Rattus norvegicus: one gene and its partner. The protein of the gene in region 1 purifies or fractionates together with the protein of each later gene. This does not show direct contact. Links are inferred from orthologs where the notes say so. Each region holds a gene or a part of one and is shown on either strand. Other genes may lie near its edges.

Region 1 (3,648 bases):
CCACCATGTGGTTGCTGGGAATTGAACTCAGGACCTCTGGAAGAGCAGACAGTGCTCTTAACCTCTGAGCCACCTCTCCAGCCCTGATGCCCTCTTCTGGTGTGTCTGAAGACAGCTATAGTGTACTCATATATAATATTTAAAAAAAAGGAAACTGAGAAATAGAGGAATTTATGTTTGTCAGTGTTCTCTTGCTGTAAAGAGGCACCATGATCGTGGCAACTCCTATAAAAGAAAGCATTTAACTGGTGCTTGCTTACAGTTTTAGAGGGTCAGTCCATGATCATGGCAGGGAGCAGGTGGCAAGCATGGTACTGGAGCAGTAGCTGAGAGCTGTATCCTGATCCGAAAGGAGACAGACAGATATGTGTGCAGCATGCATGCAAAGCACTGGGGTTGGTGTGGGCCTTTGACCCCACCACACCCCACACCCCACACCCGTACTTCCTCTGATAGCAGCATCCTTCTAATCCTTTCAAATAGTGCCACTTTGGGGGACTAAGCATGAGCCTATGGGGGCCGTTTTTAATTCAAACCACCACAACTGTGACAAACTGAAAAAATTAGGTATAATTTGCAGCGCTATTTTCTTATTTATTTGATATTAGTGCCACTATTGGCTTTTATGTGTTAATGAAAGAATAGTTGCTTTTATCTTTTAGCTGTTGCTATCCTAACTAGTTGGAATAATTTGTTAAGGAAACTAAATAAGTTCTTTCTGCCCCAAGTCTTTTGGATAATCAACTTGCTCTTGAGGTCTAAGTGGAAGGAACAGGGCCCATGGCTTTCCTTTAGGCTCAGTGCTGCTCCCATCGTCTATTACAGCCATCTTTAGCTGCAGGCAGCACACGACTTCAGTCTCAGTTATACGAGCCATATTTTACCCAGCCTGAAAATGGGCCCCAAGTGCTCTCTGATGCAGTTGCTGCTTGTCCTACTAAGTAGTGAAGCTCTCGCCTGGCCTGGCACTTCAGCAGCACTTTTTTCCTTGGCTTTCTTAGGCTCTGTTTTGCTTTTTGTTTTTTTAAGATTTATTTTATGTATATGACACTTTGGTCTTCAGACACACCAGAAGAGGGCACCAGATCCCATTACAAATGGTTGTGAGCCACCACATGGTTGCTGGGAATTGAACTCAGGACCTCTGGAAGGGCAGTCAGCGCTCTTAATCGCTGAGTCATCTCTCCAGCCCCAGACTTTGTTGTTTAGATAGAAGGTTACAGGCAGGACTGGGCTAGAAGTAGTTGCTGGCAGTTGTGACTGTCCTCATCACTCTGGAAAAGTGTTAAAATGCATCTCACTTCTTGGACTCTGATTCTTGCTCTCTTTCCTTTCAGGAATTGGTGTTTTCTGCGTCCCCTGATGCTACTATCAGGATTTGGTCCGTCCCGAACACTTCTTGTGTACAGGTTGTTCGGGCCCATGAGAGTGCGGTGACAGGACTCAGCCTCCATGCCACTGGAGACTATCTACTGAGCTCCTCTGATGATCAGGTGCAGTCACAGTCAGGGGGCCTTGAGGAAGCTGCTTTCTCATCCCGGGAGGAGGGGGCAGCAAGGTTCCCAGAGTTTGGGAAATGTTTCTTCTCTATGGGAACTAACTCTGCAAGGGGGATCTGTCTTGAAGACCACAAGACCCACTTTCTCATTGGCTTTTTTTTTTTTTTTTTTTTTTCTTTCATCTCATTTTCAGTACTGGGCGTTCTCTGACATTCAGACAGGGCGTGTGCTCACCAAGGTGACAGATGAGACTTCCGGCTGCTGTAAGTGGCCTAGAGGCATTGAGCTCTTTTGTTTGCAATTTGTTGGTGTGTTTCATTCAGTCATTTGCTTATGTGTTCTAAAGACAGTGTTTACCACTGGCAGTAATGTAGTGCCACTCTTGTGCTGGTACAGTGAGGAATGAAGCGCTCTCACTCTCCCTGCAAACTCCTGACTACAGACCTCTTCCCTTTCCTCAGCTCTTACCTGTGCACAGTTCCACCCTGATGGCCTCATCTTTGGAACAGGAACCATGGACTCCCAGATCAAGATCTGGGACTTGAAGGTAGGACATGCAGGCCTCGTCTGGGGCCCAAAGGAGAAGGAACTTATGAGCTGTGATGGCAAGCCTGAGTTATCTCAGGGCTTGGGAGAGGAGTACCTAGCTCTGTTTGTGTGGCATAAGTGTGATCAAGGAACTGTGGATGTATAGGACATCTCACAATAGGAGTTTGGTAAGCCCTGCTTTTTTTCCTGTTTTGACCAGTGAATGCTGTTTTATTGCCCAACCTCCACCTGCAGGAACGCACCAATGTGGCGAACTTCCCTGGCCACTCCGGCCCCATTACCAGCATTGCCTTCTCTGAGAATGGGTACTACCTGGCCACGGCAGCTGATGACTCCTCAGTCAAGCTCTGGGACTTACGCAAGTTGAAGAACTTCAAGACATTGCAGCTGGACAACAACTTTGAGGTGTGTTCCTCCTCAGTCTCAATTGTTTCTCCTTACTCGGCGATAGTTTCTGAGTTCATGCAAGCCGCTCCTGTTTGCTCCCAGTTTCATGTCTTCTGTTCATTTGTGTAATTGCCTCTCTTTGGGGTTTGGCAGGTGAAGTCACTAATCTTTGACCAGAGTGGCACCTACCTGGCGCTTGGGGGTACAGATGTCCAGATCTACATCTGCAAACAGTGGACAGAGATTCTTCACTTTACAGGTAGAGGACGCCTGCCTGGGGCTTCCAGGGCCTTGTGTGTCTGCTCTGGCGAGAAGTGGGGATAAAGCTCTGGGCTTGGCTTAGATAGGCTTTCCTTCCCGTCTTGCTGTCCTGGGACTAGAACACAGTCGAGGTTTCTGTCACTGAGCTCTCAACCCCCATCCCCACCCAGTAGTGTTTACTTATGGCTGGGGAGTAGAGCATTGTGGCCCAGGAAAAGTACTTGTGAGTCTGTCCCAGAGTACTGCTACTAGCTGGCCTCTCCCAAGCTGTGTGTTGAGGAGCAAACTGATCTCCCTGGTGTTCCAGGAAAATTGGAATACATGAAGAGACACTTCGTGGGGATCATGAGGGCTTACATGAAAGTGCATGACACCCATAGGTTAGAAGTATTTTATGGTATATTTGGTAATGGGTCTTGATTTGCGTAATGAATAAGAACAGTAATGAAGTAATGGGCAGTAATGAAGTTTTTATTTATTTTAGCTTTTTGAGAGGGTGTCTCTGGGTAACAAGCATTGGCAGTTCTGGAACTCACTCTAGACCAGGCTGGCCTCAAATTCACAGAGATATGCTGCCGTTGCCTTCTGGGTGCTGGGATTAAAGGTGTGCACCACAGTGCCTGGCCTTTTCTTTCCTTCGTGAACTTTTTATTGGGGGCTGTCGTGGATGAGTAATGAAGCTTATACATCAAGTTAGGAAGAGCAGATGGAAGGCAGTTCGGTACGCTTGTTTCGCTTTGTGTGGAGATGGAGTTCAGGGCCTTTCCCACAGTAGCAGGTCTTCAGGCCCCAACACAAGTACTCAAGGGCAATGACACAGTGCTGTGCAAGAGGTTTTCTCACCTTGGAGTTCCCCTGTGACCCTGAGTTGCGTCAGCAATCTTTAGGGTGGGGATCTTGCTGCATGTGGTAGTTCACACCTGTAATCCCAACACTTAGTGGCTGACGCTAG
Region 2 (3,748 bases), on another chromosome or scaffold:
AAATTTCACACTTCACTAAATGTTTTTAATGGAGAAAAAAAATCACCTAGACCCAAAGCAATGGCAACGCAGGAAGTTGAGAACTATCAGAGGGAGAAAAGCTCAGTGGCCTTCCTTCCCAAATCCCTGACCAGGGGAGGGCTGCAGGCAAATGTGTGGTGGCATTATCTCCAGTCCTACCACTGAAGTTCTGCCCCCTTCTGGTGGTATGTGTCCGATGGGGCTGTTTTCACAGGAATCTATGTGTGCCTGTCTGGGTTCTGACATTTACTTATGATACCTCTTTCCACCTCAGAATCCTGGTGAGCGGGTGCTGCATGCTGTAGTTCACTCAGGATCAGCCAGCCCTAGGGCAGGAAATGAGCTGATCCGCAAGCAAATCCACAGCCATGCCGGATCCCATCGATGGGAAGTGGAAAGCCAAGAAGTGGGCTGTGTTAGCCAGCCAACAATTGTACTCAAGTGTCTCAGATTCTATGCAATATTTTGGGGTGGGGGAGATCTCGCTATGTAGCCTAGTTCTCTCCAAAACTTCTGAGCTCATGATGTTTCCTCTAGGCTCAGCCTCAGGAGCGATAGAGACTATAGACTCTCTCCATCCCGCCCACTTCCCTGGCTAGTTCTAAGCCTTCCCCTAGAGTAATCCCCTTTACTGTCCCCAAACCCTCACCCAGTAGCCCCAGTCTTGGACCTTTTGCTTTCTTTTGAAAAAGCCCCTCGATCTGTTAGAACGAACACCTTAGAGGATCGCCCAGCCAACAGCGGTTGTTGCCTAGCAACGGCGCCACTAGCCCGCCCACGTGACCAGCCCGAAGGCCCTCCCTTCGGGCTGTCCCAAGGCGCCTGATCAGATCCGAGACTCCTCCGACCGTGCGTTTTTCTGAAACAGTTCACGCTTCGTTTTGAGGATCAACAAATTGGCTTTTCCAGTTTCTGTCTCCAAGCCAAAATTCCTCGAAGCTGCTCCTCAGGCAGAGGGCTGTCCTGCGAGGCGAGGCGATCCGGCGACGCGCTCGGGGTCCTTCCTGGCGACGGGCGCCGGCGTTGTCGCGGCGTGCGGCGGAAGCGCGGGCTCAGGCGGCGGACTAGTGGCCCTCGGCTGATCAGGCGGCGGGTGAGCTGGCCGGGAAGGGTATTCTCAGGGGTTGGGGAACCAAAGAAACCCGAGTTTGGGAAGAGGCGAATTATGCCTTTCGCTTAATCAACGCGTAAATTGAATTCTGGCGTGGGGAAGGGAATGAAAGACACCGACCCCCAACACACGCTCACACGGTCGATTCCAGCGTTTCCGTGGTCCCCGGCGTGGTTAAGATCCTGTGCCTTAGTAGAGGTGGCGCTGTAAATACCCAGACCCCTGCCACTCCCCCTTCTATCGGTCCCTGCTTCACAGCCAAACTGTGTCCGTCTTCAAACTATTCTGCATCCAAGCTGGCTGTGATAGCTGGTGCCTAATTCTTCCTCGCTGGAGATAGAGGCAGGAATATTGGTGCAGGTTCAAGGCTAAGCAATGGGTCTGGTTCAAAAAGCCAAAACAGAAAAGATTTCAGCATTCCTTTGAGGATCTGTGTTGTAGCGGGAAGATGCAGTTCTAGTATTAGGGACTAGCTTTACTTAACTAAGCATGTAACTAATTCATCCTCCCACCCCCAACAAACAAAACTAGCAAAACGTATTGAAGGCCTGTTTTGTCCCAGACACTACTGTCATTTTTTGCTCCGATTTTTATTATTAACGTTTGTCAGTAGCAGATATACACCCATGTATTCCTAAGTACTACTCAGGCATAACCTTGATTTATTAGGCTGGGGGTGTAACTCGGTGGAGAAGTGTGAGGCCCAGAATTTGATCTTAATCACCCGACCACACACTAAGATTAGTGTAAGGCTGGGTTGACAGGTGTATGTGGAGGGATTTTTAGCGTGGCAAATAGGTGACATTAAAGGAGAGGGGTGAGTTAAATGAATTAAGATATAAATAGCCAGAGGACAATGGGAATGACAATAGCCCTGAGGCAGAGATGAGCTTGGCTTGTTGAGCAAACAACTTTCTTTGAAAATTTGTGCCATTTTCTGGTGGGAGTCTTGAGCATAATTGTGGTGGCCTCTTAGAACTAAAAACAATAGTTACATCAGAGTCTCCATAATGACTGACATTTAATTACCAGTGATTAGCACTCTAATTCTGCATTTTATTTATAGTCATTCCTCACTGAGGTATTCAGTCTACAGTAAGAAATAACAGAATTTCAAAACTGAACATTCTACTCAGTTAACCTTACTCGGTGTCTGTTTGTGCAAGGTGCTGCCTAGGGTTTTGGCGTGTGAACACATGCTCATGTTTTATGTTAACCAACATTTGTTATTTGTATTTTTTTGGGGGGGGGGTTCTTTTTTTCGGAGCTGGGGACCGAACCCAGGGCCTTGCGCTTCCTAGGCAAGCGCTCTACCACTGAGCTAAATCCCCAACCCCTTTATTTGTACTTTTTGAGACAGGGTCTCTCATATCTCAGGATAGGATCGTGGGTATAAGCTCTCATGCCCAGCTAATCTTACGTTGTGTGTTTCTCTGTGAGTATGTTTGCAAATCTCTCTGGTGAATGAGGATCAGGTGTGCTGTGGCTTGCAGGCAGAGGTCAGAGGACAACCTTCAGGGTTTGTCCCTCCACTCCTGACCTGTTTTGAGATAGGATCCCCTCGTTACTGCCAACACCAGACTGACTGGCTCTGAGCCTCAAAGAATCTCTGCCTCCCATTTCCTGTAGGAAATCGCAGACACTCACACTACCAGATGGGGCTTTTTCGTGGGTTTCCAGGATTGAACCCAGGCCGTCAGACTGCATAGCTAGGTACATTCATCGCCTTTCTAAGGTCTTAGGCTGTGATAATTCACTCTAGGGAGGTAAATGCAGTTCCACGAGTTAACATCATCGTTAGAGATGAGGCTGAGATACGATGATGGAGTGAGGTCGATGGAGCGAGGTCTTTAACTCCAGGGGCCTGATGCTTTTCCCCTGCTTCGGTTTTTGTTGCTCACAAACTGTAGAGGAGTTGTTGGTGAGAATAACAGTAGTCACCTAGCATTTGGGACAGAAGATACTGAAGAGAGTGAGAAGTGAGAGGCTGAAGGGCTAGGAAAGCTTGAAGGGTGGGATCTAAACTGTTCCTTTGAGCAGGATATCAGTCACTGAAGTGGGGGAAAAATCCACTGGAATTGCAGACAATTGTAAGCTAATGTGTGGATGTTGAGACTCGAACCTGGGTCCTTTGAAAGAGCAGTAAGAACAATGAGTTCTTAATCATCACTAAGGGAAAATGAGTACTTTTATAACAAGCATGTCCGCTGTCAGCATAGTTGAGGGCACAGCGAGAATCATCAGTGAGGAATGGTGTACCGCTAAGAGCAGATGCAAATCCACACGAAGGGATTGCTGATACAAAGCATTGCTTTGTGGTCTGAAAATGTCAAGTCGTGAAAGTCAAGACTAGAAAGCCATTCTAGATTAAAAGGATAAAGATACCTCAGGGTGTGTACAGTCCTGGTTTATGTCCTTAGCTGTATAATTCATGACTGGAACAGTTTTTCAACTTGGCATTAGGTAGAATAACCTGCTGGTATTGATGTTTTTGTTTTGATGATTGTATTGTGATATTTTGAGAACTTTTTTTTTAAAGTAAGATGCTGGAAAGATGGTTTAGAATTTAAGAGTAACTTCTAGGCAGCCATGAAGACTTGGAGTCAGATCCTAGCA

The links. Proteins that work in one complex are often made in the same cells at the same time.
Region 2: the proteins of Prpf19 (region 1) and Eftud2 purify together in Homo sapiens (affinity purification with mass spectrometry; 3 studies listed by BioGRID and IntAct, with this or other methods). This does not show direct contact. The link is inferred for Rattus norvegicus from reciprocal best matches to the Homo sapiens genes PRPF19 and EFTUD2.

Annotation. Positions count from the first base shown.
Region 1 is NC_086019.1:216,972,872-216,976,519, forward strand, and holds part of Prpf19 (pre-mRNA-processing factor 19), read left to right. Parts: intron 1-1,337; coding exon 1,338-1,493; intron 1,494-1,692; coding exon 1,693-1,762; intron 1,763-1,960; coding exon 1,961-2,046; intron 2,047-2,282; coding exon 2,283-2,453; intron 2,454-2,588; coding exon 2,589-2,694; intron 2,695-3,648. UniProt on the Homo sapiens protein: Ubiquitin-protein ligase which is a core component of several complexes mainly involved pre-mRNA splicing and DNA repair. Required for pre-mRNA splicing as component of the spliceosome.
Region 2 is NC_086028.1:88,343,471-88,347,218, reverse strand, and holds the start of Eftud2 (116 kDa U5 small nuclear ribonucleoprotein component), read left to right. Parts: upstream 1-1,061; 5' UTR 1,062-1,114; intron 1,115-2,766; exon of another isoform or gene 2,767-2,845; intron 2,846-3,748. UniProt on the Homo sapiens protein: Required for pre-mRNA splicing as component of the spliceosome, including pre-catalytic, catalytic and post-catalytic spliceosomal complexes. Component of the U5 snRNP and the U4/U6-U5 tri-snRNP complex, a building block of the spliceosome.